4 linked regions of the Drosophila melanogaster genome follow. Changing the gene in region 2 together with the main gene of any one other region gives a genetic interaction. Each region holds a gene or a part of one and is shown on either strand. Other genes may lie near its edges. The genes, in order: Cisd2, Cln3, Sod1 and Cat.

The links.
Region 1: of Cln3 (region 2) and Cisd2, changing one enhances a phenotype caused by changing the other (phenotypic enhancement), as found in Drosophila melanogaster (one study listed by BioGRID).
Region 3: of Cln3 (region 2) and Sod1, changing one suppresses a phenotype caused by changing the other (phenotypic suppression), as found in Drosophila melanogaster (one study listed by BioGRID).
Region 4: of Cln3 (region 2) and Cat, changing one suppresses a phenotype caused by changing the other (phenotypic suppression), as found in Drosophila melanogaster (one study listed by BioGRID).

Annotation. Positions count from the first base shown.
Region 1 is NT_033777.3:29,220,256-29,226,118, reverse strand, and holds Cisd2 (CDGSH iron sulfur domain 2), read left to right. Parts: upstream 1-2,690; 5' UTR 2,691-2,779; coding exon 2,780-2,876; intron 2,877-3,349; coding exon 3,350-3,573; intron 3,574-3,637; coding exon 3,638-3,718; 3' UTR 3,719-3,902; downstream 3,903-5,863. Other genes in the region: Brd8 (bromodomain containing 8), read right to left, coding at 1-2,549; eEF1gamma (eukaryotic translation elongation factor 1 gamma), read right to left, coding at 4,343-5,476, 5,540-5,689, 5,811-5,822.
Region 2 is NT_037436.4:17,807,161-17,816,989, reverse strand, and holds Cln3 (Cln3), read left to right. Parts: upstream 1-2,870; 5' UTR 2,871-2,930; intron 2,931-4,098; exon of another isoform or gene 4,099-4,194; intron 4,195-5,990; 5' UTR 5,991-6,000; coding exon 6,001-6,204; intron 6,205-6,276; coding exon 6,277-6,407; intron 6,408-6,495; coding exon 6,496-6,654; intron 6,655-6,713; coding exon 6,714-7,053; intron 7,054-7,110; coding exon 7,111-7,545; 3' UTR 7,546-7,759; downstream 7,760-9,829. Other genes in the region: Ir75a (ionotropic receptor 75a), read left to right, coding at 1-4, 55-667, 725-1,005, 1,103-1,328; CG32191 (uncharacterized protein), read left to right, coding at 8,243-8,353, 8,411-8,570, 8,660-9,148, 9,218-9,829.
Region 3 is NT_037436.4:11,109,264-11,115,394, forward strand, and holds Sod1 (superoxide dismutase 1), read right to left. Parts: upstream 4,478-6,131; 5' UTR 4,377-4,477; coding exon 4,311-4,376; intron 3,586-4,310; coding exon 3,190-3,585; 3' UTR 3,018-3,189; downstream 1-3,017. Other genes in the region: CG34012 (uncharacterized protein), read right to left, coding at 1-3, 66-212; emei, read left to right, coding at 574-576, 767-1,141, 1,242-1,537, 1,599-1,856, 1,925-2,099, 2,162-2,425, 2,482-2,601; FoxK (forkhead box K), read right to left, coding at 5,822-6,131. UniProt on the Drosophila melanogaster protein: Destroys radicals which are normally produced within the cells and which are toxic to biological systems.
Region 4 is NT_037436.4:18,819,331-18,829,724, forward strand, and holds Cat (catalase), read left to right. Parts: upstream 1-3,273; 5' UTR 3,274-3,455; coding exon 3,456-3,512; intron 3,513-7,007; coding exon 7,008-7,928; intron 7,929-8,025; coding exon 8,026-8,568; 3' UTR 8,569-8,858; downstream 8,859-10,394. Other genes in the region: HipHop (HP1-HOAP-interacting protein), read left to right, coding at 1,977-2,642; Indy (I'm not dead yet), read right to left, coding at 9,893-10,183, 10,249-10,394. UniProt on the Drosophila melanogaster protein: Catalyzes the degradation of hydrogen peroxide (H(2)O(2)) generated by peroxisomal oxidases to water and oxygen, thereby protecting cells from the toxic effects of hydrogen peroxide.

The sequences.
Region 1 (5,863 bases), on a different chromosome or scaffold from region 2:
CTTCCCGTGTTGCTCACCGGCGTGGCCGTGATCCCTGCCTGCACGTCCGGCAATTGGGAGAACTCTTTGATCGCCTGACAGTCCTGCACGAACAAACGCGCCGTTTTGTGCTGAGCCGTGTGTGGTTTGTAGGCCACCAAAACGTTGTGGGCCATGAGCAGGACATCCCTGTGCAGCTCGCTCAAGCTGCGAATGAATCCCGAGTCGATGTTCCGCTTGATGGTGGGGAAATCCATGGGGCGTAGGCATAGATCCGCATGTCGCTGGGCGTGCTCGTCGTGGAAGGGACGCTTAAAGGGAGCCGCATGCTTGCTGTCCAGCAACATGGCATAAATGGACAGGAAGAGCTTCTTGGAGGCGGCTCGCGTTTCTCTCCGATCGTCGGTGTGCTCGCTGGAGGCGGGAGAATTGGGTATGCTGTCGATAACGGGCGTGGAGGAGCAGCGGCGACGTGTGGACCTAGCAGTGGAATGATCGCTGGCTGTTGTGGCGTCATCGTCCACCATTGGACTTTCGGACCGATCCCGATGCGGCAGTTTTCGTAGCAAAGGCGTTCGAGCTGGCGCCGACGGTGGCTGAGGTGTGCCACTCAGCTCCAGTTCCGACTTGGAGTCATCCAGAGCCAGCTTCAATGCCGGGGGCTTAGCTTTTGCACTCCTTGGATGGTCATCGTGCTTGCTGCTGTCCGTCAACGAAGACGACTCCTCGTCTGTGTCGTGCAGATCCACAGGAACCGGAGCGGACTGAGTGGTCGTCTTTTCTTGCATTGTTACTGGCTTTCCCGCTGTGTCCTTGCCTGACTTGCTTTGTGCTTCCCTAGTGGCTTGGTGATCTATTAGTTCCGGCTCGTCCGTGCTTCCTCCTGCCTTATTTTGTCCTTGGGAGCTACTTTCCTGTTCGGATTTGTCTTCCGCGGCATCCTCCTTCTTCGGAAGGGAATCAGTGGCCCCATCTTCCTCCATTTTCGTGGGTGGCGATCCTGCAGTATCCTCACTTGAAGTGCTGATAATGGTAATGGTCTCACCAATCTCCTCCACCGCCACCTCGCTGGTCAACGGCTCGGACTCTGCGTCCTCGGTGCCCCTAGTAGATTCACCACCGGACTGACCACGATCCTTACTCTCCTGGGAGGCCACGGCAGCCAGGGGTATATTGTCGTTGGAGTCATCGCTGGATCCAATTACTAGCTCCACAGATTTTGGTTTATCACTGGCTGGGGAACTTTTACTTTGCTCCCGCTTCAAAGCGTCCAGCTTGTCCTCAAAGTCAATAACTTCGGCTTTATCGTTTGATGGCGAGGCTACGACGTCATCCACATTTTTCAGAATCTCATCGTCAATGACACTGGCCATATCAATGTCGATGTCATCTATTATTTGATCAATGTTTTTGAAGACTTCCAGCAGCTGCGCTTCGTTGGGATCCGCCTCGTCGGAGTCTGCTGTGCCAGCTGCAGAAGAAGTGGCTTCGTCTACACCCTGCTCCTGGTTTCCTGACCCCTCTGGCTTTACCAAGCTTCCGCTTTCGTTGGCCTTCGCCGCAGCCATGTTCTTCTCTAGCAGCATGGAGAGTGTGGGTGCCGCCTGCGAGGGACTCCGTTCGAGTGTGGGCGTAGTAGAAGCCTCACTGGCCGGAGGTCCGGTAATAGGTCGGGACATAAACGCCGCATCTGTGGGGCTCTTCATGGTGATGACTGGCTGATTGGCAACAGCTGAGCTTGGACCGCTGGTCAGCAGCGAGGTGATGGTTGGCGCCGTAGCCCTGGCCACGCTGCCAGTTCCTCCGGCTGCTGGTGCAGCTCCTCCTGGGGTGGGCGTTGCAGGTGCATTGCCTGTGGGCGATTTCAGGAGAGATGTGAGTAGAGGCGAAGGACCCGTCTGCTGTTTGCCATTGCCACTGGTGTTTATGTCCTCCACGTCCATATCGACGGAAGTCGTGTCGGCAGCTTGGTTGGAACGCTTGACGGCTAGACTGCTGTTTCGCCAGTTGCTGGCCAGGTCCTTCTTGCGCTGCTCGCGCTCCCGCATGCGATTCTCCAGCTTCATCTCCTCGATGCGGCGCGCCTCCTGCTCCTTCTCGATCTCCAGCCACATGTCCTGCAGCTCCTGCTCGGTCACCGCGTCCGATTGCAGCGACTCAATCTCCCGCTGGATGCGTCGGTAAGTCTCCTGATCCTGACGCATCTGCGCCTTGATCTCCGCCTGACGCTCCTCCGTGAGCCGACGGAGCAGCAATTCTGTGGGCGTCTCCACGGTGGCCGGCGAGGAGACGCCGGCACTGCTTTCGCTGCTGCGCTTCTTGCGCTTGGTGGCCTCCACGCTCTCCAGCAGATTGCCGTACTGCATGGCACAGTTCTTCTGCGAGAACCAGTCCGCCGGTCGGTTACTGCTGCCATTGCCGCAGATCGTCTTCAGCGTGCGGCTCACCGTGATCCAGTTCTGGTCGCCGCTGCAGGAGACCGCCGACGCCAGGATGAGCTGCTCCCGCTTCGACCACGTGTCCAGCGGCATGCGGCTCAGTTGCAGGCGCTCTTGTACCCCGGCAGACATTCTAAACTGCAATTTATTGATTTCAATCAATAATTCGTAAACAAAACAGAATGCTATCGATGACTACACACGAATCTGTAATACTGCCTATCGTCGAAAATGCAGTGTGACCCTAGCACTGCGATACCGATAGGACTGGCTTATCGATTTGCTAGCACCGCTAACCGATAGCAACACAAAAACAAGTTTTCCGAATTTAATAGCCAGTTAAATAAAAAAGGCGTTTCGAAATGGAGCCCATATCACATCTGGTGAAGTCCTCGCTGCCCAATTACTTGTCAAGTCTGCCGGTTCCCGACAGCATCGGCGGCTGGTTTAAGCTCTCCTGTAAGTTTGGGCAATGAGCGTGGTTTTGCCCATTGGAATTTGATTTGCCTTCAAAGGGCGCCCCACATAAACCCAAATCCACGATAATGACGCAGCATCTAGGGGGGCCAACTAAATGGACTACTAAGGTGCAAATGTGGCGTGATATTGCGGAGCTGCTAACGGGAATTGGAAGTGCAGTGTGTGCACTTCCAGGCAAAAAAGTTGCAGCGATTATGCAACAACTGCTGAGCTCGCCAAGAAATTTATAATTGGAGCAAGTTTGTCTCGCAGATAGGCAACTAGATAGACGCATAATACAGGCATACCAACATGGGTATACCTATAAACATATATGCGCATATCTTGGTGCGTTTATAACCCAATATGTGTGTAGGGAACGACCTTGTGCCGGTTACGGCTGATCGACCAAAATATCTAGTTATAAAGCTTAAAATGCACTGCATTCCGTATTAACCTGGTTTCGTTTGCAGTCAAGGATTGGTTGGCCCTGATCCCACCCACCGTGGTGGTGGCCGGACTCGGCTACACCGCCTACCTGGCCTACTGTCCGGCGGCACGGGCCAGCTGCGCGGCCAAAAACAGCGGACGCTGCAACAACCACATCCGCAAGAACGAGCCCAAGGTGGTGGACATGATCGACGTGGAGGATATTGCGGAGAAGGCGGCCTTCTGTCGCTGCTGGAAGACCAAGAACGTGAGTGCATTCTAACCTCTGAAATATTGTGAACAAAATTTTCAATTGAATCCTCTATTCGCAGTGGCCCTACTGCGATGGCAGTCATGGCGAGCACAACAAGCAGACTGGAGACAACGTCGGACCAATTGTCATCAAGAAGTAGATTGCGGCGGTGCATCGATACACAAACGTTCTAGCATTTCCTCTCGCTGAGCTCCAGTTTGCTTTTAAAACCAATAGTAGTGGCCGAAGCTGTTTGAACCCTTGTAATTGTAAGCAATAATTGATGATATTGATGGATTAAGTTAAAAGGAGCCAATAAAATTGCCCAAACATAAATTCAAATCGATATGCTTAATTCTAATTACTAATAAATGCCAGACCTAACCTTTACCAACAACCAAATAAACCACACACACACATACACACACGTGTGAGAGAAAACCGTGCTGTTATTAATAGAAAACCTTTTATTTTTTATAAATATTTTCTGACTGCAGGCGGCTGTTCCGTTGACAATATCATGCTGTGTTATGCTTAGGCGGTTACAAACAAATTCTCCAGTACAAAATGCAGGAGGCGAGACACACGATTCCGCCAAACGTGGGAGGCAGCACGACAGATATTGGATATCTTTAGTGTACTTATCAGTTGGAACTTAAGAAATGGGCATTGTGCTCTTCCTGCATTTTAAATCTCAAACTTTATTGTTACTGCTGCTGTTGTTGTTGTTGGTCTAAATGAGGGCGGCTGCTGCTTTGAGCGGAGCTGGGCTAGGCAGAGATGATTACTTGAAGATCTTGCCCTGGTTGAACTTGCGACCGTCCTTGTCGGTGCCGGACCAGGAGAAGTACTGGGTGACCAGCTTCTTGGTCTCCTCGCTCTTGGCGTCGAGCTTCTTCCAGTCGTAGACCTCGTAGTCGATCTGCCAGTCGGGGGAGAGCGTGAAGGCCAGATCCTGTCCGCGCCACACCCAGATACCGGAGATGGTGCTGTTGCCGTCCTCGCCGAACAGGCAAACGGAGGCGAAGGCCGCCTTGCGCATCTTGTCCAGACGCTGGAACATGCCGGTGATGAGATTGCACGACATGAACACCTTGGACAGCTCCTCGTTGTATTTGTACTCGCCAAACCAGATCGAGTAGTTCTCGGCATCGAACTTATCGAAGAAGTAGGGAATGGACTTGGCCTCGTCCTCGTTGGAGTACACGCGCTTGAAGTCATCGAAGTTGAAGGTGCCCTTGGGCAGCGCATCGAAGGGGTCCTTGGACTTGGGCTCGGCGGCCAGGGCCTCATCGGCGGCGTCCAACTCCTCGGCGGGCTCGGCAGCCTTCTTGGGCGCCTCCTTCTTTTCCTTGGGCTTCTTCTCCTGCTTCTGCTGCTGAGCCTGCTGCTGGGGCTTGGCGGCTCCGGTCTTGGCCTGGAACTCGGCGTACTTCTTGGGGTCGAAGACCAGGGCCTTCTCGCACAGCTTGTAGTCCTTGACGACGGCCTGGACCTGCTTCTGGTTGAGGATGGTGACGAACCAGCGGTTCACGTTGCCGAAGGCACTGCGCACACTGGGCTCCAGGACGTACTCGTACAGGTGGAGCAGACTGCTGAAGACCACAATGTCGGCCAATGTGATCCTCTCGCCGGCCAGGAAGGTGGCGTCCTGCAGCTTCTGGTTGAGCTGCTGCAGCACAGCCTCGGCCTCTTGCTTGGCAGTGCTGTTCTTCTGCTGCGGCAGAATGCCCAGCAGGGGGAAGACCCAGGCACAGGAGGCAGGCACAATCTCGTTGTCGGCGAAGGAGATCCACTGCTGGACCTGGGCCTGCACGAAGGGGCACTTTCCGCCGCGCAGCTGCTCGTTGGCCAGCAGGTAGGCGATGGCATTGGACTCGCTCAAGTACTGTCCTTCGGCGGTCTCAAAGGCGGGCACCTACGGGCACATATCGTGTTGATGACCTGGCACTAGCCACACCCACAAAAAAAGCGGACTCACCTTGCCACCGGGGAACTTCTTGAGGAACTCAGCCGACTTGTTGGTCTCGCCGAACTTGAAGTTGTCGGCCACTTTCACCTGGGCTCCGGAGTACTGGGCTGCGATGAGCGCCTTGTAGGCCCGGAAGTTCTCGGGGTAAGTGTACAGAGTCTGCAAATATGGGTGGATTAGTTGTGATATCGTGGCAGCTAACCGGCATCTGGAAATTCGCAAATTCACATGGCTCGAAGCCACGGATTGGAAAATCCTCACTGCCCTTGTGCGTACGTACTCCTTTCACCATGGTGGATTCGCCGTTTAAATCGTCTGCCTGCAAATACAGTA
Region 2 (9,829 bases):
GCAAGTAAGTTTTATGTAAAGTGGGAATTGTAGAGTTCATATTTTTTCCTTCAGAATGAAGTTCATCTTCTCGGATAGCTGGAGTAAATCGGATGTGGTAGGTGGTTCTGTGGGTGCTGTAGTGGACCAGACTGCTGATCTTACGGCCACGCCCTCTTTGGCCACTGAAGGCAGGCTTAAGTATTTGTCTGCCATTATTGAGACGGGATTTTTTCGTTCCGTTTGCATTTTCCGGACACCCCACAATGCGGGACTCCGGGGAGATGTTTTCCTGCAGCCCTTCAGTCCGTTGGTTTGGTATCTCTTCGGCGGAGTACTTTCGTTGATTGGTGTCCTCCTGTGGATCACCTTTTATATGGAGTGCAAGCGAATGCAAAAACGATGGCGCTTGGACTACCTACCCTCTTTGCTGAGCACTTTCCTGATCAGTTTTGGAGCAGCCTGCATCCAAAGTTCGTCCTTGATTCCACGATCCGCTGGAGGCAGACTAATTTACTTCGCCCTGTTCCTGATCAGCTTTATTATGTACAACTACTACACTTCCGTAGTCGTTTCATCTCTACTAAGCTCGCCCGTCAAGTCCAAGATAAAAACGATGCGGCAGCTGGCGGAGAGTTCCCTAACCGTGGGCTTGGAGCCACTTCCCTTCACCAAGAGCTACCTAAATGTTGGTTTCATTCCATTCCTAACCATTCTTAACTGCAAAGAGCTTTTTTAATTTCAGTACTCAAGACTACCGGAAATACACTTGTTCATAAAACGCAAAATCGAATCGCAGACCCAGAATCCTGAACTCTGGTTGCCCGCTGAGCAGGGTGTTTTAAGGGTCAGGGATAATCCTGGCTATGTCTACGTGTTCGAAACCTCTTCCGGATATGCATATGTGGAGCGGTACTTTACGGCTCAAGAGATTTGCGATTTGAACGAAGTTCTATTTCGACCCGAGCAGCTATTCTACACGCACTTACATCGCAACTCCACGTACAAGGAGCTCTTCAGACTTCGGTAAGCCCTTATGCTACTCTTCCAAAAGCAAGTATAACTAAATTTTATGCTATTCAAAAACATCTTAAATGTATTAAAATCGTATGTATTATTTTAGATTCCTTAGGATCCTGGAAACTGGTGTCTACCGGAAGCAGCGCAGCTACTGGGTGCACATGAAGCTGCACTGCGTGGCCCAGAACTTCGTCATCACCGTGGGAATGGAGTACGTGGCTCCTCTGCTCCTCATGCTGATCTGCGCCGACATCCTGGTCGTGGTAATCCTGCTGGTGGAACTGGCCTGGAAGCGCTTTTTCACGCGTCATCTCACCTTTCACCCGTAGTGCTTTAAAATCGCTTTAAGCTGCTGTAACAACTATATTCTATTTGCACCCAGGAGAAAATAAAAACACTTTGCGTTAACTTTTCGCATCGCAAAATTATGCAGGGCGACGCTTTCCTCACTTCCTGTTTTCGCGCCGGAAAATTGCAGCACGGCTCGTTAAACGGAGGGATGGATAAAGGGGTTTGCAAAGGACGTGGTGGCCATGTTTCCATGCGATTTTCGTATTTGCATTAAAAACTTTTCGTGTTTGGCGGTTACTTTTTATACTCCATTTTCCCTTTTGGCAATGATTTTATTCATTCTCTTGGAGCCATTTTATTTGCATTTTCGTGCACGGCCACATTCGAATTGAAACTTTGTTCCCCAATGCCACGTGCGAATGTTAGATAACTGATTGTGAGCCTAATACGGCCTATTAGAAACAGTTAACAGTTGTGTTTTTCGCATTTCCCCGAATTTCACCGGAATCAGTAGTTTCCCTACCGCAGACATCGCATGTTGCCCCGAGATGATTTATGGTATTTTAATGATGGCGCATCGCCAGAGGCGACAAATATGGGAAGGGACGTGTCAAAGCTTTATCGAAATTGATTGTACAATAAATAAGAGTGAGTTGAGTTCGCACAAATATTATTAAATTGGGTGTAGGAGCAAATAAATGGTATTATATGGCTGCTAATCAAATACGCAGTAAATTATATATTTTTTCAAGATTTTACATTTGCCTAAGTCAAGCAAATAGTATTAAGAACTTCGTTCTTAAATGACTCCCAGTCGACCATTAAAATGCAACTGACACAACTGCTTGCCAAACAGCACTCACTGGCATTCCGGAATTCCCAAAGTATTACTATAACAAATTGCCTTAACAATTTGTCAACTCAATCTGGCTGTCAACAGGGCATCGCTTTGGCCATAGTTTATGCCATGAAAGGACTACTTTCCCTTCGCAGGGAGGACAACTTTGGAGTGACTCGAAATTGACAAGCAATTGTGAATTATTTATTATTTACAACATCGAACACGGGTGTCCCTTTTTATCCCTAGCAGCCTTAACCACTTTATTTTGCAATTTGTCAACAACATGTTCTCTTTTTTAAATGCAATGTATAGCCCTGTGGCAAGTAAAAAGTGTTCCATGCTTTGCGGCTGCGGTGTGAAATTGGTTTTGGCGGTTTCCGTACGTGCTAAATGAGCGCGAAACGGATTTAATTTAAACGGAGCTATTGTGGATGGGAAAACGATACCCGAGAAATTTATTATGACCAAACTCTTGGCCGGTACGATTATTAGACTTAAGTGTACGGGAAAAGATAAAAAGGGGGAAGCGGGCTTATGGCCATCACCTCATCAGTTTGATTACCCTTTCTGTTCCCCAGAGCCTGTCATATACGAATTGCCATTGCCAGTGATATCTTAAGATTTATATGGCCCAATGCTGCGAACGTCTTATCTGTAATTTAATCTGCTGGCCACTTAACGATAATGATAATGTCGATTGCAACTGGTCCGGCTGTAATCTAGGCCCGTATTCGACGAGTCCTCAGTAGATTTTCATTGCTCGAGCGGATTGAGTGGCAGCCGGAAATAATTCGAAAGTGTACGTACGGCTGGTGTTTGGTATTCACTCGGGGGAGTAATGTTTATTGCATTTTACGCCGGATTTATGGCCGTAGAAAGTATCTCAGGGTTCCGTTTCAAATGAAATTGTTATAAAATTAGCCAGCATTTCCAGTTGAACGGGTAAATGTGATTTGCATAGCCGAACCGTTTGTCATCGAGTTAAATGACCTCCGTTTGGTTTACTGTGTAACTTTAAAAAAAAAAAAACAAGTGAATTTATCGATACTACTTTTTAAAATCTTTCTACTAGAAAACAGGTGTTTTTGAGCTTAGGAGCACTTTTCGGATTACGCATACGCCACGTGCGCCCGTTGAAAAACAATAAACTTAGAGGGAACGACCATTAGAGCTTACTTGATATTGGGCAGCACAAATTAAAGCTAACAGCGCTATCCGCAATTAAACTGCCTAACTTAAAGTTAAGCGTAATTAAAATAGCTATGACTTATTCAATAACAGGTGCTAATTACGAAAGCTAACACAAACACGAAGTTTGAAATACCCTCCAAAATACAGTTGCTAACTTGATCGTTTTCAATACATTAATCAAGAGCTAGCACATGCGTTCAAAAGTATTGGAAAATCTTTAAGAACCCTTCGTAGTGACACAATATCTTCATAATCTAATCTATACCAGTTCGACTATCGGATTGCTTGGGATCTTTGAATGCCAAAGACCGCTAGCCGATAAGCATTTCCCACCATAAAGAATCACAAGGTTCGCAGATTTTCCCCCATCGAGAAATTCGAACATCTTATCGCTATCTTCGCACTCTTGAGAAGAAGGGGTATTCTAAACCCAATGCGAATGCACTTGCCAACTCGAAAAACGTGACGTTCGCTGACCGACCTCAACTCCCCCGCTTTTGCCGCTCGAATCAAATCGAATCAAATCGAATTGAATTGAATTAAATGATACTATATATGTAATCTGTAATGTGTGCTACCTGCTAGCGATCTACGTACGATCAACCTGCTGATCGGCACTTTGGCACTTGCTGCATCTTTTAATTGTTTTAGTTTTTATGCTGCCGCTGGCAACTCGCGTGATACCTCATACTTGGGCTCCCAGCCGCTTGGCTCCATTGTAGTCGCCGCTTGTTATTGGTTCTCGTTCCGTTGGGAGGGTTCGCACAGGTTCAGTCACTCACCGATCGCCTCGAAGCGCGAATCGTCGTCGCCGTCGTATCCAACAGTTCTCGGAACCTTAGAACTACCAAGCCGAAAAATAGTGGCAAGATGTACGGTTGTACTTTATAGTGAACAAGAGCAGTTGAAGAACCCATTAGTGCTATGAAAAGTTATAAAGTGCAATAGAAAGTTAACTCTATGTAAACATTTTTACATTTGTTGTAAATTCAACCTTTTACATATTATATTACATAAAATGCGAAATTAAATATCAAAGGCTTAAAATTTCTTATGGAAAAAAAATTATTTTATCTATTAATTTACTGATTAAAAAGTTATATTTGAAAACGAAAATCCCTTTAAGCACTCTATGCTTCAGAATTTTTTTTTCAAGATATATGCAAGATCTAGCATTCTCAATTTACCAGTGATATTTCGAAATAAATTTTGAGTATCGGGTATCATATTTTTTGATAGCAAGCAAAAGTAACTGGATAGGAAAGTGCACTGCGAATTGGGTCAACAACTTCATAACTGCGCAAATGGATCAAGTGAATCTCTTGAATGAGTCAGTGGCCAACGAAGTGCAGGACGGCTAAAAAGCATTTGCCTGGTCTCTGAATTAATTAAATTAGTTAATTTGTTATAATTATTTTACAGTTAGCGTGCCTTTTCTTTGTTGGCTAACAGGGCTCGTGCTAACTGTTGATTACATTATTTGAATTGGTTTGGCTTGTTGCAAGGTTAACTTAAATGATCTGGATAATTAAAAGCTGCCAGTCAAGGGCGCTAATGAGAATTGGGAATATATGCATTGAACGGTCTAGATTATATTATCCCATCTGTTGTCCCCATTTCCTCTTCGATCTATTATCAGTCACAAGTTCTGTCGGATGTAAACAAATCAATTCATCTGCACTTTGCACCACCGAAAACATTGCCAAAAAACTGTGATATATATACGTACATCTATATATCCGGTAAAATCGCACATATGTAGTTTATTTCCCGCTACAGCTGAATGTTATCTAAAATCTTATTTATTTAAAACCTCCAAACATTGCAAATTAGCTAGTTATATAGCATAGTTAAATGCCTGAGAAATGTGTAAAGTAATAGTAATAGGCTACTTTATTACAAATTCAAATAGTAAAATAGGAAATACGTGTGCACCTCCCGTGAAAATATCCCGCAAGGCACTTAGCTATATAAATATGAGTCTTTTAACCCGTCAAACCCTGAGTCTGAACTAAACAGCTGTCTTTTCCTACCTTCAACACAATTTGTATATTTTTAAGCATTTATTGCACGTACTTTCCATATATTTTAGCGACTTCCCCTAGTGACCATATTATGTCAAGTTCAAGACTGCTTACGCACATGCTCGGCTTGGGAAATTAAACAATTTATTTAAATTCGACTCGAGCAGTAGTATTTGCTCAGCTTAGAAGAGTGAATAGCAGTTTCTTTTAAGAGTATAAATAGCTCATAGCTGGGAAAGAGAATTCAATTAATAGTTGGCCCATTCAAAGTAAATTAAGTAAGGTGATCATGAACTAAGGGTACGGCGCTGATTTGTTTCTTGGAACAAATAAATGTTGAACTAAAGCTACTAAAAGAAACTGTTATTATAAAAACGTGATATTGATTTCGTTGCCGTTTTGAAGTCTTAAAACCACCTTCGTTCACGCTTGACCAATTAAACAATTTGCGTAAATGCTAAAGCTTTTAAAAAGAGCAACATTAATTTTTTTAGAGACAAATAAGTTGTTGATTTCTTAGGAGAAACTAGATGAGTTTAGATTAGAGATAGTAAATGGTAAAAAAAGTTATGAAGTGAATCAAATAAATTTGTTGGATTTGCACTAAAAATATTAAACAAAAGGGTTTTTTAATTTTTGTTTAGCCGGCTCAATATGACGGCAACCAAGCAGCAAGAGGCTGAGGCCGAACATGATCCCCAAGTGGTGGTCACCCCTGGAGACGCCTCTCGCAGCTCTCGCCAAGATCGGGGTCTATGGCGGGATCTTACTTCCTACTGGATCCTCGGTCTGTGCAACAACTACGGATACGTGGTGATGCTGAGTGCTGCGCACGATATTATCAAGCAGTTTAATCCGGTAATTACAATAGGATTATAGCACTTTTAATACATTTATTAATTGTTCGCCTGCATAATTTTTTCTTTTTAGAATGATGAATCGGAAGAAAGCTCGTCGGGAAGAAACTGTCACTTGGTTTCAACAGGTGCCATCTTGCTGGCAGACGTGCTGCCCTCATTATTTGTCAAGATTCTAATGCCATTCTTTCCATTTTGGGTGAAGTGAGTACTATCTACAATATTAAATAAATTTGATTTGATGCATTAAACTTGATATGATACTAACACAAAATCGCATTTTATTTATTAGTTTCCGTATAGCTCTTGCCGTGGCCTTTTCTGCAGCTGGTTTCCTCCTGGTTGGATTCGCCAATGCCGAATGGATGGCTCTTTTGGGTGTCATCATCACTTCGGCTAGCAGCGGAATAGGAGAAACCACTTTCTTGGCCTATTCTTCGCGATACAATAAGTGAGTTGTCTGGTAAAAGTACTAAACAAAATATCATTAATTCCATATGTTTTTCTTAGGAATGTGATCTCCACTTGGTCGTCCGGAACTGGTGGCGCTGGAGTTATCGGATCCTTGAGCTATGCTAGCTTGAGATCCTTAGACTTCAGTCCCAGAGATACTATGCTGATTATGCTGATCTTCCCTGCGATCGAGGCCTTTGCATTCTGGTTGCTGCTTCGTCGTCCACAAGTTGATATATTGCCGGTTACCACGGTTGAGTCCACGGAAGTCCTGATCAGCGATGAGAAGCCATTAGTTGGGTTCAAGGAAAAGCTCTTCTATATCAAGCACCTCTTCAAATATATGTTGCCCCTTTGCCTGGTTTACTTCTTCGAATACTTCATCAATCAAGGATTGGTAATTTAGCTTTCTTTAATTCATACAAAAAAACATTCATTGTCATCCATTTTTCAGTTCGAACTGGTTTACTTTGAAGATATATTCCTGGACAAGGACTCGCAGTACCGCTGGCTAAATGTGGACTATCAGATCGGAGTCTTTATCTCGCGCTCCTCTGTCAATCTCTTCCAGCTGGACAAGATCTGGCTGATGTCCATCTTCCAGTTCGTCAACGTGGTATACTTCCTCACCGAGGTTATCTGGTGGTACACGCCTAGCATCTGGATCGTGTTCGCCATCGTCCTGTGGGAGGGACTTCTGGGCGGCGGTGCTTACGTGAACACCTTCTATCGGATGTCCAAGGAGATTTCGCCGGAGCGCCAGCAGTTCGCCATGGCCATGGTGGTACAGTCGGACTCCTATGGCATTGCTCTGGCCGGATTTCTGGCCATTCCCGTGCACAACGCCATCTGTGGTCTTCCGGCCGCGGCCAGAAGCCTTGTTTGGTGATACGGATCGAGGATCAGAATCAGGATCAGATTATGCCTTTACTGTGTGCGTGTTTAGCCAAATAAGCGTGTGTGTCTGTGCATGTCCCTATAGTATTAATCACTGGATCACTGGACATCCGGTAACCAGATAGATCGTTGTATAGTTAGTATGCTGCTGTTAGACTACTCTATAAGTTTAGTTTAATAAAAAAAAAAAATAAACACTACACTGTACATTCGATTTCATTTAATTTCAACGTACCCAGATGCAAGCACTTTTCCGAAAATGTTTTCCTTGGCAAAGTTTGGCTTTTTCGGCACAAAGTGCTCACGGCTAACCACTTTGATAAGCACACTGATCCCAGACAGAATGCGCCCCACTTGCTCTGAGTTTATTCAACTGTCTCCAACAAAAAGCCTCTTAAATTGTACGTATTTACACTACCTACACATTATAATTACTTAGATGGAGCTGCTCGGTTATTAAATAAACTTGTTGCTTGTGGCTTCTAATTCGGTTTGATCGGTTTCAAATCGAACGCCAAACGATCGGTTTGGCAGTGAGATGCCGGCTGAGACAGATTGGGAGATCGAGACCCAAACCGATTTGGGGCGAGATGTTACGTGGACCGCTCGCCGTTTCAGTTGATCGGTAGCTGCCGTGCAAGGCAGTCGAATATTACGCGATTGTCTAATACGTAAGTTGAGTAACCAAGATGCGGGGCTTATCAGCGTTTCTGCTTTTGCTCTGCCTCCAACGGGTGAAGTCGGACGAATCTGCTGCAGCACGGCGCCCCAACATAATCATCATTATGGCCGACGACATGGTGGGACTAGTTTCGCCGTCATAAATCAACCCATTTCTAAAGCAAACACTCTCTCAGGGCTTCGATGATGTGAGCTTTCGAGGCGGACGGGAGTTTCTAACTCCCAATATCGACGCCCTGGCCTATCACGGTCGTCTACTGGATCGGCTCTACGCTCCGGCAATGTGTACTCCATCTCGGGGAGCATTGCTCAGCGGCCGGTATCCAATACACACGGGTTAGTATCGATTACCTTTTGTATACCAGGGATTGTTATTATCAATGATTTGAATCAAACCCACACAATTCATATATTGATTACCGCAGGCACACAGCACTTTGTAATCAGCAACGAAGAGCCTTGGGCCCTGACCCTCAATGCCACATTGATGCCGGAGATCTTCAAGGAGGCAGGCTACTCCACCAACCTGGTGGGAAAATGGCATCTGGGCTTCTCGCGCCCGGAATACACGCCCACTCGGCGGGGATTCGATTACCACTTCGGCTATTGGGGCGCTTATATAGACTACTTCCAGAGACGATCCAAGATGCCGGTGGCCAACTATAGTCTGGGCTACGATTTCCGGCGGAACATGGAGTTGGAGTGCCGGGATCGTGGGGTTTATGTAACTGATTTGTTAACCGCCGAGGCGGAACGATTGATCAAAGACCATGCTGATAAGGAGCAACCCCTATTCCTGATGCTCAGCCACTTGGCTGCCCACACGGCCAACGAGGATGATCCTCTGCAAGCTCCCGAGGAAGAGATTCAAAAGTTTTCCTACATTAAGGATCCAAACCGAAGGAAATATGCAGGTAATTACACTTTAATAATTAAATGCTTATCCCAAACATGACTTATCACATATCTAATCTAACCCCTAGCGATGATCTCCAAACTGGACCAGAGCGTGGGACGTATAATAACCGCTCTGTCTTCTACAGATCAACTGGAGAATAGCATAGTGATCTTCTACTCGGACAATGGAGCTCCATCGGTTGGTATGTTCTCTAATACGGGTTCAAATTTCCCACTCCGCGGACAGAAGAATACTCCGTGGGAGGGCGGCGTACGGGTGGCTGGTGCGATTTGGAGCTCCGGGCTTCAGGCACGCGGCTCCATCTTCCGCCAGCCCTTATACGTCGCCGACTGGTTGCCCACGCTTTCACGTGCTGCGGACATAGAGCTGGATAGCTCTCTAAAACTGGACGGGATCGATTTGTGGCCCGAGCTATCCGGATCCGCAGATGCTCCCCACGTTCCTCGAGAGATTTTGCACATCTTGGACGACGTTTGGCGACTTTCTGCTCTTCAAATGGGACAGTGGAAGTATGTGAATGGCACCACTGCCTCCGGTCGATACGATTCGGTGCTCACCTACCGAGAACTGGACGACCTAGATCCCCGCGACAGTCGCTATGCAGTTACGGTGCGCAACTCCGCCACCTCAAGGGCCCTTTCTCGCTACGATTTACGACGACTGACGCAACAACGGA
Region 3 (6,131 bases), 6.7 Mb from region 2:
TATCTGAAACAAAAAAAGGCGATTGACTGAATCGGTAGGCTTGAAAATTTGAATCGCATCAATACCTCTGGATGCTGACAGAGATATTCCCAGTTTCCGAGACGTAGTTGTTTTTGGATTCGCGATATTGTGCTGTAATGCTTTATATCCCGCGATTCCCACTTTCCAAGATCCCAGATCTTGGTGAAATTTTGCTTATTCCCATGCGACATTTTTCAGATTTCACAGGAATTTGGATATAGCTAAATAGTTTTATTTAGGAAACTAAAGTCAAAGGAATGTTGTTAAAACATTTAATTGAAAAACTCACAAAACAAAAACAGTGAAATTAGGTTAAATTGAACATTTCCAGATTTAAAAAAACCGCTAATCTGATTCGCGAAAAGTGTGCCATATTTTATTTCGACGTTTTTCAGCAAGCAAAAACGGTCACACTGCCCGCACAAAAGAAAATTTTCAACGAAAATTGTTCGAGATTTCCGTTTTTAATTAACAATGATGAATTAATTAACGCTGGAATTAGCACAAGCTGTAACTTCACACATTTTCTCGGCTCCACGGCAATAGAAAGCGATGGTAAGATGAGTGGACATGACGGAAAACTGGACTTTTAATTGGGTACAACTGGCCAACCGGCTTGCCCGGAAAAATGAAAAGTCCGCCGTAATAATGGACCAAAAATAGACCGTAGCGCAGTGACCCAAAAATAGCCACTACATGTGCTCCCAAATGTCTTCTAATAAGCTGTCTCTCGAAACCATTGCAGGCTGTGCTGGGCGCCCAATTGGTCATCACCTTGGTGATGGTCAGCGTTATCCAGAAGTTGAGTCCACACTACTCCTTCGCCAAGTGGATTCTGTGCCGCACCGGACTCTATCGATACCTGCATCCCACGGACGATGAGCTGCGGTCCCGCGGCGGTGTGCCCAAGGAGAAGCCACCAAAAGGTGGTCGAAATAAGCAGGCAAATGGTTCAGGAGGAGCGGCGGGTGCACAATTCCACATACCGCGCAGCATTGAGGTGGAGCTGTTGACGTCACCGGTGTTGGAACGGGATGTTGTCCACCTGCGCTACTTCACCGAATATCAATGGCTGCTGGACTTCAGTGTCTACACGGGGATCGTCTACGTGGTCTCCGAGGTGGGTAAAGCTCGGGTTGTTCGCCTGAAAATCCGACTACTGTGATCCTAGTTCTAGGAATGCATACCATAACTTACTAATTTTGGATTCCCCTCCACAGCTGTTCCACTTCTACTACCCGCTGCGCCACGAGGTCAACTTGAGCATGGTGTGGTGCCTGCTGGTCATCTTCTTTGCCCTGAAGCTGCTGTCCTCGCTTACGGTGCTCTACTTCCAGAGCGAGGAGTCCATCGGCGAGAGGTCGATGGTGATTGTTGCCTGTTTGGTTTACCTGCTGGTGGCCATGGTCGTGCTGATCGTTGACGAGCGCATTCTGGAGACGGGACTGGAGGATGCCTATGCGAGCTTTAATGCCAGCGCTTCCAAGTTCCTCACCGAGCAGGGCCTGCCATCATCGTGAGTTCGCCCCTGTTTCGCGTATCTCTATTTATTTACACTCTTATTCTTATTTTTTCAGTGGTCCCGCCTCCAAGATCGTGGTCAAGTTCTTTTTGGCCATGGGTTGCGGCCTGCTCGGCTCATTGTTCACCTTCCCCGGCTTGCGGATGGCCAAGATGCACTGGGATTCGTTGAAGTACTGTCGCGGCAACCGGTTGCTGCAAGTGCTCCTGAATCTCAGCTTTGTGCTGCCCTTTATTCTGGTCATCCTGTGGATTCGGCCCATTAGCCGCGATTACCTGACGGTGCGCGTCTTCCAAGGAATGCAACAGCCACTGTGAGTTAACCTACTCACATTAAATTAGTTTTTACTAATTAACAAGTTCATCCCGATTATTTTTGCAGACTGAAGCCACACGTTTTTGAGACACTTCGCCTGCTGCTAGTGATCTTTGTGGTGGTGGTTCGTTTCGCCTTGATGCCCATATATCTGCAATCGTACCTGAATCTGGCCCACGACAAGATCATGGATCTGCGCAAGGAGGCCGGTCGGATCACCAACGTAGAGTTCAAGCAGAAGGTGGAGGCAGTCTTTATTTTATACAAACGTTCATCGAGTAAATCCTCCTTTCCCTTTTACAGATCTCGTCTATTTTCTACTATCTATGTGTTGTGACGCTGCAATTTGCTGCCCCACTGATCCTATGCCTTTATCTCACACTTATGTACAAAAGTCTGGGCGGCTTTAGCTGGTCGGGTATTTTCCGCGAGAGCGTTGTCCTGCAGCACGAGTGTGCGGCTAGCGAAACGGAAGGAGCTGGTGTTGCCGTTTCCCAAGGAGATGGTGACTTTAATATTATTGAGTCGGCGCAATCGCTGCAGGCTTCGTTTAGCAGCCTGAAAAACGTAAGAATCCTTGCTGTGCACGTCAATGCCAGTTTTAATCATAATTTCTTTTTCAGGTTTTCTCCACGGAGGTGTACAAGGGTTTCCTGGGCTTTGCCACCTGGTGGAGCTACTTCACCCTATTCGCCACTTCATCGCTGGGCATTGTCTACCAATCATATTTCAACAAGACCTAGGTTCATTTAAATCCCCGTCGTAGTATATGACTTTGTTCTTTTGTAGTGAATTTATACCGCACACGAAATTAATATTAGTTTCTACTCATGTGGCGAGTATCTTGATTTACAATATTTTTTGTAAATAATACTACCTAACTCATTGTTTATAAAGTGTGTTTTAAAGACTTTTAACCAGGCTGCCCGGAGAGTAACCAAAGTAATTACAAAAATAAATAAATAATCTAAAACGGAGATATGTTATCAAAACATGAACGAATGTGTGTCTCATCGTGATTTTTGGGTTCTGCACTCATCTAATATGTAATTCATTTCATACGAATCTATAACCCGATTCTACTTGCGAATTCGTCGAGCAACAAGTGATATATTCATTCTTACCATCTCAACTCAAATGAAAACTATAACTTTTGTTTATGGGGCAATTTCAAAACACCAATTTATTGAACCTCAAAGGTTGCGTATCAACTAACAGACCACAGGCTATGTATTTATGTTTAGAAGTATGTATATCGTTTGTATATCTCCAGTGGGTAGTGCTAAATAGAGTAGATCAGCACAGTGGCCGACATCGGAATAGATTATCGCTTAGACCTTGGCAATGCCAATAACGCCGCACCCGATGCGGGCACCAGCGTTGCCCGTTGACTTGCTCAGCTCGTGTCCACCCTGGCCAAGATCATCGGCATCGGCGTGCACGACAACGGTGCGTCCGATGATGCTGTCGGCGCCGAAGAGCGTAATCTTGGAGTCGGTGATGTTGACCTTGGTGGGGCAGTCGCCGGTGGCCTCAATGTTGCCCAGATCGCCCAGGTGACGATTCTCGTCGACGGGAGCGCCATGCTCCTTGCCATACGGATTGAAGTGCGGTCCGGACGACATGCAGCCATTGGTGTTGTCACCGAACTCGTGCACGTGGAATCCGTGCAGACCCTTGGCCAGGCCGCACACCTCACCGGAGACCTTCACGGGCGTACCGCTGCTCTGTGGACGGGATGAAGGGATTGGGTTATAACGCTTCAGATAATACTCGAATACTGATAAGACACAAGTTGTGTATAATAGTGAGCAGAAGCACTGATTATGATAACGAGCGTGGCCAACTTCATATGATAATAGGTTATTATAGAAAATAACATTTGTTAATAGACACACGTTAAACGGAAATATTTATAGGCAGCAAAGTAAACATTTGGTTATCTTTATAGATTAAAAACATAAATTTCCTCGGCACTGAAACATAACCTGTAATCATCAAGTTTATAATCGTTTACTTGACACTTGACATTGCTGCTTTGACTTTGATGTACAAATTAATTATGAACAGCATCATTCTAATTATTCCCATATTCCTAATGCTTATTCTAAAACAAATATTTGTTGATATTTAACGATACTTTACGAACAAGTGAGCTTTATATCTTAACTCCTTTTTATGTCCAGTACCAATTTCGTGACCTTTGCTGTAGGCACTTGAGCGCACACACATATGCGCATTTTGGTGCGGCTTATATAAATATAAAGGTGCACTTGCTGGGTGACTAGGCGTAAACTCAAATCGGACTTAATTAAAATGCTCGACAGAATTTAAAGCAGCATATTGAAGTGGAAGAGGGGGCCGCGGGTGCAGCCGGCTATTTGACCTTTAGAACTTCTGTTTTTCGTACATTTTGCCGAGCAGAGAAGTTCAAATGATTTTGGATTCTCACCTCCTGTTCGAAGAAAACCGTGCCCTTGGCATCGCCGTTAATTACGCAGACAGCTTTAACCACCATTTCGAATGAATTAATCAATTTATCAAAACGAAAAAAGTTGAGAACTTTCCAGGTATCTTCTATGGTGTGACCGTAGCAGAGCAGCTTAGAAATACATGCGGAACTTTTACTGTTAGTGTTCAGTTGTGCAAAAGTTTCGTTCACACTATTATGCCGTTACTGGAAGCATTTTTTCTTTGTAATATTTCAAGCTCATGTTTTATTGGGACATTTATTTACATTTTTAAGGATAAAAGCTACAAATTACAAAATTTGAAAACGGAACAATTTTACTGCACAAATGGCGTTGAATTTTTTGAGCTGTTCAACGAACGGGTGGTTCACTTGGAAGCCTTCCATTTATTCCAATGACAGTGGCGGGAACTATTCAATTTACTTTGTTTTGTATAAATAAAAAACGAATCCAGGAATTCCCCAATAAATGCCCAGACTTGATTGCGCTCCTGTTGACTAGTATCAACTAGTATTCATTCATCTATCTAATTCAATTAAAGCAGGTAAATATTAACAAATTGAAACAAGAAAGTTTACATTTGATTTTTGTTTTTTTTTTTAATACACAATTTGTCCAAACACTTAAATGGGATTTTCTTCATTAATAAGAAATAATGTGCTATCATTTCAATCTTTATATATTGTTATTGTATCCGTAAATTTGTAGATATTACTTATTTATTTTCATCATTTTTGTTTTTGTTTGTATTTTAATAATTTGTATATATATTAATATAGATATACATATATATATATACACATATATATATATATTATATTTAAATCGATATAGGTAAAGGTATGTAGATAGGTAATATTATTCATTCGCCTGTTTGTTTGTTTGTTTGTTACTTGTGTGGTTTGCTTGCTTGTTACTTAATTTTCCCCAAATTTTTTTTCACGTTTCTCGCACAATTCGGTCACATAGCTATAACATCTTAAACATCATAATCATCAATCATTACAATAATCAATCGCATATATCTAGATAATTTTGCTTTGTTTGCTGCTTTACCTTGTTGTAAACTTAAAATTTATTATATTACTTAGAGAGTAGCGTCATCGAGCATATTGAATTCGTCAGATCTAGGGGATAAAGTCGTTACTTCGAATCGGGTTTTCGAATTTTCAAAATGTGTGCTTGCATAAGTCGCCGCCGTTGAACGGCTGCATGGCCAACATTTCAAACACAATCATCTCACAGTTGCTATTTGTAAAATGTTCCATATCAATTTACATATACATTGCTCTTCGCGTGCGTTCATGTTCCTTAAGTTCTGCGTGTGTGGCTATTTAATTTGATTTGTATTTCGGGGTTTAGGTATAGGTTTTTGATTGGCAAATTCAATATACAAGATGGAGATACTTTTTTGTTTTTGCTTTCTAATCGTTTACACCCATGGGCCTCACTATTTGCCCTTGTTCTGCCGGTGCTTCTGGATCCGCACGCATCAGAGCACTTCCGACACATACTTGGGTCGCTTGGCCACGGTGGCATCGGTGGCAGTGGTGACGCACTCCTCCTCGCTGGCCTCAATGTGGCCGCTGTAGTCGGTCGGCAACTCCTCGTAGATAATCTCTGAATGCTGTTGCTGGGCCACGGCCTGCTGCTGATGCAGCGTATGCTGCGATGCCCCGCCGCCCATCACATGGTTCCTCTTTAGCGCAAGCAGAGCTCCAACCCCGCCGCCTCCGCCGCCGCCGCTCGCTGCGCTTCCTTCCACATGCGTCTGTGGTGTGGCCACTCCAGAGCTTTGATTG
Region 4 (10,394 bases), 1.0 Mb from region 2:
TCTCGTTTCTTTGTTTGGCCTCTTTGTTGTGGTCCTAAGTACCGTTTACTGTTATATATTTATTGTAAACTGGCTGTGGTTGTTGTAATTCCTTGCAGCATTGCTTTTCACTTTACTTCACTAATGCACACACACACCACACACTCTCATATATGCAGAGATAGAAATGGGGAGACCATACACGAACGAAATTTCTCGTGCAGCAACTTTTTCTCTCTTTGCTTTCTTTCTTCTGCTTTATCTTTTTTTATTTTGTGTAAACCAGTATTTTGTGCCTTCTTTCACTTGTATGCTTTACGATGTTGTTGTTGTTGTCGTTGTTGTTTTATTCAAGAAATTGTTGAATAACGGTTTCTGTTAGCCGCTATGCTTTCGTGTTTGTTGTTGTTGTTGTCTTGAATTTCACTTTGCTTTCGCGTTTCACGCATTGCTGCTGCTTCTTCTTCTACGTCGCCGTCGTGTTGCTCCTTTTCGTATTTTACATTTTTTTTAGCCGTGGGAAACCTGTCCAGCAGCCTTAAAGCCGCTGTTTTTGTTGCTTTTCGTTTTTTGGCTAAACATTTTCATTGCTAAAAGAGCACTTGGGACTTTTATTTTCATAATTCATTTATCGCGCTGTAGTTGTGCGTATATTTATAAAGATAAAAGCAAGCAAACAGCGCAGCAAAATTCCAAATAAATAAAATTATTGTTGCTCAACGTTCATTGCCACACACACTCACACACGGCCAGACACTCACCAACACCAGCAGACAACGAGTCAGACACACACACATGCATACACTTTTTTTGGGGCAGCGTTTTTTGTTGTTTCAAGGCAACTTTATTTCTTGACTCTTTTTTTTGTATTTTCCTCCCCCGCAGGGAAACAAAGAAAATTTCACTTGTCTCGCACACTCACACCACGAAGCGCGCACACAGACACGGTGCCTTTCCCAAAGGAAATATTATTTAAAACATTTATTGACACAATTACAAGGTTTTTGCTTCTTTCGCTCGACGTTGTTATTGTTGTTGCTGTGGTTGTTGCCGCTTGCTTGCTTTTTTCTTGCTGTTGTTGTTGGCCTACTTTGTGTGTTGTTGCTGTATTTTTTCTCTCCTCTTTTTTTTGTTGCTCCAACTTCTCTCCTTTGCTTTGCTTGAAAAAATTTCACACGCGCCGTTTCTTTTTTTGTCTCTTCTCTTTACGTAAATTAGATTGCCATTTGAAGTTATCTTTCGAGGGATTGCACTTGGTATTAAGCTATATTATACATATACGTGTTGCACTACATTATATTTATAAAAATTATGTGTATTCGTTTGAAATTTTAATTGTGTTTTTATAAAAAGAAAATCAGACGAGACGAACGTATGAACAATGAATGACAAAAAATAACCTGGGTTTAATGGGCTAACATTTCGCGTCCAACAGCACGCTGAGTGCTGTTCGGCGAGCAGCTGATTTTGCAGTTTTCGGTATTTTCAGTATTAGTTGGTATAATTACAGTTTGATTTGAATGTGGTTTTAGGGTTTTAAAAAATGTGTTTTTAAACTCATTTTAATTGATACAACCAACAGAAGAAATACAGTCAATTTTCAAACTAACTGATATAACATAAGTATTTCATGAACATCGAACACGCCAATAATTAGATTATTGTCAATTTTAAACGAATAGTTTCTTCATATTAATTACTTAACTGGCATTACAATAAGCCACATTTAAATTGTGAGAAACTGTGACCATGTCAGTATGTTTTTAGATTTTATAACATTTAAAAAAATTGAATTTGTTTATTAGTTAAATGCATTTTATTTTACGCCTAATTTTGGTATATTTCAGCAATCCATATGTGGTCACACTATATGTTTCCAAAGTGGCGGGACAATTGGCTTCATGTTTCGTTTTGTTGCGTTTGGAAGTTAAAATGCCAGTGTAAGCATTGTTTTGTAAGCCCGAGTTGTGGAGAACTAGGTGCATGATCTATTCCAGATGGCCTCCATTGACGAGGGCTCGCGCGTTGAGCGGAGATTCTGCGCAGTCGGCAACCACACGCTGCGGAAGCCGTATCGCCAACTGAACAACAAATATTTGGTGCGCTTCGCCTGTTTGCTGAACAGCGAAATTCGGGCGGGCAACCTCATCTGCTGCAAGTGCTACACGGACCTGGTGCGACTCTACCGGAAGAAGAACGACAATGCCAAACGGCACAAGATGGCCAGGGAGACTGCCGCGAGCATTACGGACGTCAGCGGCAGTCAGTCATCGTCGCACCAAAGTGCGCCCTCTTTGCATGTCTCTGGCCAAAGTTCCGAATTCGGTGCCTCATACAGTGAGGGGGGCATTGTGACTCCCGATGAAGAGCTGTGCTCCCACAGAAGCTTAAGTCAAGATTCAGACAATGTGCCCACTACCAGCGCTGCAGCGATCCAAAAACGCCAGCTTGCGAGGGCAAACCTAATGGTGAAACCATCGCAGAGGCTGAGCTTGGCCCAGACTACTCCGGATTGCGACGACTACGACCCCAACTCGAATCTCAGTTTGAACGCCGTGAATGGCACGCGACTGCCGCACATTCAGCCGATTCCAAAGAGGCGCCCGACCGTCCTGGACAAGCAGTCCATGGATATTTACTTGATGGGAACCACAGGTGGTTAGGTGATTTTTTTAAGTTGTGACTAGAGAACAAGATACATATGCTAGTTGATGCTAGTTTCTAAGTTTCATTTAATTAGATATTTTTGTACGCTAAAATAAAGAAAGACAGAGATGTTAGCTTGGCAGGAGCCACAGAAAGATAGCCGCCATTTGGAGATTTCCTTGAAGTTTATAATTTTAACATGTTTAATGATATTTACATATATTATATGAATGAAGTACATTTATTTTAAAGGCACCACTGGAAGAGGTTCACAACTTAAGAAAAAAAGAGGCCATAGATATTTATTTGGCAGGAGCACCAATAGATAGCCGACTTAGTTTATAACTTAATGATGCCGACATTTTCATGAAATTAAAAAAATAAATAACTTAACAAACAGTTTAAATTTATTCACCTTTCTGGGCAGCAAATGGAGCGAAGGTACTATAAATTATCAATAATAAATCTTAATGGTGTTGGGACACGTTTTTAAATGGACAGTGCAAAAAAAAAACTTTGAAAATGAATTTCATACTATTTAAATACAAATATGAATAATAATGGATATTATGTAATATTTAAGCGATATATTTCCAACTATAATCGAAATATCGATATCTTCGGCCCACTCGACAACCCTGAGCAACAACAAGTACGTGGTGCTGGGCTATAAAAACAAATGGAACTGCGCTGCAGTTGCTTTAGTTGACAGAATTCTCGACGCAGTCACAGCAAAAAACCGAAGGCGGCTAGAAATCAACAACTTTCCAGTTCGAGTGTTTCTAAATTCTGGTTATCCCGTTGAGCAAATATCCTAAATTTTAAGCAAAATGGCTGGACGCGATGCGGCTTCCAATCAGTTGATTGACTACAAAAACTCCCAAACGGTGAGTGTGTTGGTGTGCGAGCGCGAGAGAGCGCAACTGCATGTGTGTGCGTGTGTGTGCCGGCAGGAAAATAAGAAAACAAGAAAGGCAAAAAAGACAAAAAGAGAAGGGAGAAGCATTGTACGAAATGAAATAAACAAAAAACAAGACAATTTCAGTAACGATTGCTATGAGCCTGTACTTTCCATTAATTCCATTAATTATTAAAATGCGAAAAACAACAAAGGCTTGTCCAACAAATGCCAGTAATGATGAAGTCGTTTCCCCAGAGTTCGAAGTTCAAAAGCCGCCTCTCTGGGTCTTCTATTTATTTGTAGAAATCTTATCAGAAGTGAACTGATAAACCTTATCAGTGTGGCAATTCTTATTGGATTTGTGTTTTCTGTACCTAATCCAAAGTTAATTTTATTTTCCCTTTTATTTTTATTTTCCTTCTTAAGGAAATCCAAAGTTTAGTCTAGCTAACCTATTTTCTAACCTTGGGCGACCTCTTACCTTAGTCTATTTTCATTTTTCAGCGCTGTTTTCACTTAGCACTTCCAATTTCATTTGGCACTTGCATTGTGCATTGGATTTGAGTATTCGAATTTGTTCGTTTGCACTTTTGTGTTAATTATTCGCTTTCGCTTTTGGTTTAGATTAAATGCATGATTTCAATTGTGGAATCGTGCCCTCTTAAAATTTTGAACAAATATTGTTTGTTCACACTCGGAAAATTGTACTTTCCTAAATTCGTGGCATTCCACAATTGCAACATTTTATACACTGCAATCATTTTTGAAATCAAATATGCTGTTACATTTTATAAAAAGGAATGAAATATAACAAAATCAATAGTAAGCCTCACCCATAGATACTGTATCTATATATAATTTACTCGGCAATTTCCCTGTGGTTTTCCCAATGCCCTCTAAAAATCGATAAATGAAATAATAATTCTGCATAGCTATTTGTCAGCCAGTTGATAGGCATCCAAAACAGCTAAGTAATTGGCCCAAATAGATTAGATGTATCAGCCGTATAGATATTGTTGAGTGCCCACATTTGGTTAGTAACTAAAGTAAATTTCCATTGGATTTCGATACTTTGTAAGTATGAATTGTCAGTTCTCAAAGAATACAATCATTTTTTGTTTTTTAATTTAGTATACCTTTTTTTTACCCTATTCAATTAAGGCTAAATCTAGAACTTAGTTCTCGCATCAGCGATTTAAGTGCATTTGTGCATTGAGTCACGAAGCCAATTACTCCACTAACTAAAAGCAATCAGCGGTCATTATTTTATATAAACAAATATAGATATGAACTTTTTGAGAAACGCGATCGCTGGATTGCACCGCTTGTAAGTTGGAAAATTCGTTGGGAGTCAATGGACTCTGCGGCGACCGGCTCAATGTTGCACAAACTGGTTGCAATGCGCATCGACTGCGAGTGATTCGAGTGACAACGAACCCGGCTTTAAACCCGTTTTGGGTTGAGTGCGGAAGGCTAGACCGCTTCGGAAAATGCGTGTGCCAGTGCCATAAGTCAACGCAAATTTTCTTTCTCCAATTTGGTTATGCAACCTGGCTGGAACGCCCGGCTAAAAGCGACTGTATGTGAGAATATGTTTCGAACTGACCCAGAAAAGAGAGCTAGCTCCACAGTTGGTTGGTTGGTTCGTGTTGTTTTAGTCGATTTTGACCTTCTATGACGAAACTGTGAAAACTGCATTCTGTCAGGCAATTAAATGTTTGCCTTTGTTTCGGTGAATAATCATGGCAACTGGGTTCTTTGTTCTTTTGGGAATCTCGCAATCGAGTTAATTTGTTATCCAAGAAATTCGAAAATGCAAGGAAAATACTTGGAATATTTTGCAACGCAATGCATATTGCGTAAGGTCATTGTGAGTCGGTTAAGAACCCTATAAAAATCCTTATTTAAAATCCTTTAGCTTATTTTCTATGCATTCTCATTCTCGAATGAGTAACCTTCTGCTGATAAATTATGTCTAGAAGGCAAATTTATCTCATACTATCAGGTGCACTGATCTTATAAAGCCGCCTCATTAAGTTGCTGTTTGCCATCTTTGTGTCATTGGCATCGCCAACAAGTTGCAATTAAAAACTTTCCTGTAGACTGTGTTCTTTGCATTTCTATTCGAGATCGGTTGCGGTTCTCTTATCAGTTTGCTCTTCGCTGGAGATATCTACAACCAAATACATACATACATATATAAGAACGAAGGCTCTGATAGGAACCAGATTGACTTGTTGGACGTGGATCGCAGTTCCAGCGGTTCCACTCGCATTGTCATTCCCGGTTTGCTTCACTTATCGTATCTGCCCCCTGAAGTGGCCCCATATTAATGTCTCAAAGTGCAAAACATTCCGGCTGAATCGGCCGAATCTAAAGGGTGACTCCAGTATAAATTCCAGAATGATAATTTCGAAATTATATTCATTTCTTCGTTTTTATGTAGCGCTTTTTGTTTGTCAATAAGTGGGTATACTACTGGCCTGTCTAAGCTGATTTTATTATTAAATAGATACATATATACTTCTAGGAACTAAGATTTGATAAAGTCAACTACTAATTCCTTAAACAATTGTAAAAGTCTTAGTGCCCAACCGGGTAATCCCAACCCAAGTGCTATATGTATCTAAATGACTTTGTTGTGAAATATAAACAGTAGCTTAATTTATATGTTTGACACACCACCACCACCACCACCGGTGGCTTCACTTTGATAAACAACCTTCTGTATAAAATTCTATATGCATTGTTCTAGAAATGCTTTCGAATTAGAATTTCGCATGGCGTTGTTCAGGTTTCAAATACATTAGCTAAACAGTGCGCATTGGCCGGTGACAGTTTTGCAAATTGTTGGCTGAGTTAATTTTATAATGAGTGGCTGGCCTGCATGCGAAATAAACGATAAGGTGATTAAGGAGCGGTCTCGGATTACTCTAGGGAAATGAATTGAAAACAAGGAGTATGATTAGATCGACTGATAAATGACAGGACAGCTGGTGGGCTAATTGATATTTCAGATGGACAATACACTTTTATTAGCTTAATGGAATGAAATAATTAATTGATCGCCAGCTAATAAACTGTGTAACATCATTTTGATGTTTGAATACTTTCATTTAATTGGTTTTTTCCTTGCACACGGATTTGATATCTTGACATGTTAATGCAAAAAACCCATACATCATCACTATATTAAGGCCTCAAGCTCTTAAGAACACCTGGGATCTCTTATTTTAAATTTATATGCACTGCAAAATGACCCCCCGTGTAGAGATAACGCTCTGCAATCTTTATGTTAATGTTTTTTTCTTTTGGTGAAAATCGAATGATTAAATGAAAGTCCGCGGGCCAAAAATGAATTATCGCAATAGGCCCGATAAGATTGTAAGACACTTGAACCAATATATTGTTGCTGAATGTTGCATAGCATTTTAAAATTAAAATACATTTGATTAAACTTGACTTTCATTTGCTTTTGCAGGTTTCTCCTGGTGCCATTACCACCGGCAATGGAGCACCCATTGGAATCAAGGATGCCTCCCAGACGGTTGGTCCGCGAGGACCTATCCTGCTGCAGGATGTGAACTTCCTGGATGAGATGTCGCACTTCGACAGGGAGCGGATTCCAGAGCGTGTCGTGCACGCCAAGGGAGCTGGTGCTTTTGGTTACTTTGAGGTGACCCATGACATCACCCAGTATTGTGCCGCCAAGATTTTCGACAAGGTCAAGAAGCGCACTCCACTGGCCGTGCGATTCTCCACCGTGGGTGGTGAGAGCGGATCTGCGGACACCGCCCGCGATCCTCGAGGATTTGCCGTCAAGTTCTACACTGAGGATGGCGTCTGGGATTTGGTTGGCAACAACACGCCGGTCTTCTTCATTCGCGACCCGATCCTATTCCCCAGCTTCATTCACACCCAGAAGCGCAACCCGCAGACGCATCTGAAGGATCCGGACATGTTCTGGGACTTCCTCACCCTGCGACCGGAGTCCGCTCACCAGGTGTGCATCCTGTTCAGCGATCGCGGCACCCCCGACGGTTACTGCCACATGAACGGCTATGGCTCGCACACCTTCAAATTGATCAACGCCAAGGGCGAGCCCATCTATGCCAAGTTCCACTTCAAGACGGACCAGGGCATCAAGAATCTGGACGTGAAGACCGCCGATCAGTTGGCTAGCACTGATCCGGATTACAGCATTCGCGATCTGTACAACAGGATCAAGACCTGCAAGTTCCCCAGTTGGACGATGTACATTCAGGTCATGACCTACGAGCAGGCCAAGAAGTTCAAGTACAACCCCTTCGATGTCACCAAGGTCTGGTCGCAGAAGGAGTACCCTCTGATTCCTGTGGGCAAAATGGTGCTGGATCGCAATCCCAAGAACTACTTTGCTGAGGTTCGTTTTTTTTTTTTGTTTCAAATAGATTCTTCTTCATTTGAGATTAATGCAATCAAAAGAAAGATAACTAATATGGTAATTTTCTGACCCTCAGGTGGAGCAGATCGCCTTCAGTCCCGCTCACCTGGTGCCCGGCGTTGAGCCCTCTCCGGACAAGATGCTGCATGGTCGTCTGTTCTCCTACTCGGACACCCATCGCCATCGCCTGGGACCGAACTACTTGCAGATCCCGGTGAACTGCCCGTACAAGGTGAAGATTGAGAACTTCCAGCGGGATGGAGCCATGAATGTGACGGACAACCAGGATGGTGCCCCCAACTACTTCCCCAACTCGTTCAACGGTCCCCAGGAATGCCCCAGGGCCAGGGCCTTGTCCTCCTGCTGTCCGGTGACTGGAGATGTCTACCGCTACAGCAGCGGCGACACCGAGGACAACTTCGGCCAGGTCACCGACTTCTGGGTGCATGTGCTCGACAAGTGCGCCAAGAAGCGTCTGGTGCAGAACATTGCCGGCCATTTGAGCAACGCCAGCCAGTTCTTGCAGGAGCGGGCCGTCAAGAACTTCACCCAGGTGCACGCCGATTTCGGTCGCATGCTGACCGAGGAACTCAACCTGGCCAAGTCCTCGAAGTTCTAAGCTGAGCGAGCGGATTCGACGGATCAGACTTGGTTTTTGGCCTTAATTACGATTAATCCAATGGAACTAATTATTCCAACACCAACACCACCACCACCAACACCACCCATTCCGAAATTGACTAAGAAAGGCGAACGCTTTTCGGATCTTTGGTTGCGGGCTTAAATTGATTTAACCACGAAATGTGTCTTGTCTTGTTTTGATATTCAAAATTGTTTAAGTCATAAACAAATTACACTTACAATGTATATGTATATGCAATGAATATATAATAAATTCTTTATTTTTTGATATAACTGTTTGGAGATTCTTTAATTTTTTGGGTCACTTATAGTCGAGCTCTTAATTCCCATTTAAATATTTCTTCGGTACCCTGAGAAATTACTACTTCGAATGATTGAACTTAATCTTAATCAAATTTGTTCCTATGAAATATACATCAATTTAATACTTTTTGTAATGATATTTTTATTACCATTATCTCCTATGAGTAAAATGTTTTATTTCTCCGTAATTTTGTAAAAATATGTATTTTATTTGATGAATTGAAATTTCAGCTACAAGTGTCCAGTAGATGTAAAACTGTGCCAGTGAGTCTTAAACCTTTTCAGTGAATCGCGCATCCCTAGCAGGGCGAGTTATCGATTAATTCGAGTTATCGTTATACGAAATGCATGGCGCGCTTTGAACATCAAACAAAATAAGTTATTGAAATAAACAAACGTATAGTATTATTGTCGTTTGAGCTTTTTATTATTTAATATTTTTTACAAACTATATAAAACATAAATCATCTGAAAATGTACACAGTATCATTTAAGCTTAGCCTACCGCTATTTGTGTGTTCATTTTGGTTCGCAATGAAGTATTGAGTGAGTTGTTCATTTAAAAATTTTTACAAGTTGAAAAACATGTATGAATATGTAAGTTCTCTCAGTCTAGTTATTTAAAATATTAGCAGGCCAGGGCTGCCATTGAACAAACTGTTCTAACTTTTCCAAATCTTTTCCATTTTTATGCTAAATGCAACAATTAAGTAACATTAATTTGTATTTAAATATTTAGCTGAGTGCGTAGACCAGGTGTTCAATTCCTGATTAACAGTATATTGCGATACGTTTTTTTTTTAACACATTTTTCTAAACAGTAGGTAATGCTTTTGTATCAAAACTTTTCGCAACTCTGAAATGCAAGTATACATAGTTAAATATTTTTCACATTTTTCGCTGTCAGCAAAGGCACTTTTCGTTTAAAATTCCCTAAATTTTCCTCAACTTTATCGCTGTGACGGGTATGTTAGTTATTTACACTAATTACTAACTATCTAGTGCGTCTTGTTTCCCAGTGCTGCCGCGGCATAAATCTGAGCCCATTCGGGGAACGAGTTAAGGTTCGGATAGACGACCAGGCCCCAGGTTTGGCAGAAAACAAACAGGGTGATGATGGTAATGATGGTCGGACCGATTCCAGCAATGGCCATGTCCTTCGTCCTAATGTTGGCATAGCCAGCAACCAAAGCGTTGGGCGGAGTACTAACCGGCAGGTGGAAGGCCATACTGCAGGCCAAGCCAGCGGGCAGGATCAGGTACAGAGGATGGATCTCAATGGCCAGGGACTGAAACAGAAATAAACTCATTTAGTACACAACGTTTCATACAAAATGCATTGCTTTAAACTCACCATCTCGGCCAGAACGGGAATAATAATGTTGGCAATCGCCACATTGGAGCTGAAGGCGGTCAGGAACACAGCCACCAGGATGACCACCAGTAAGAGGACAGAGTTGGGCAGAACCTTCAATCCAATCAGAGCATTGCCAATCAGCT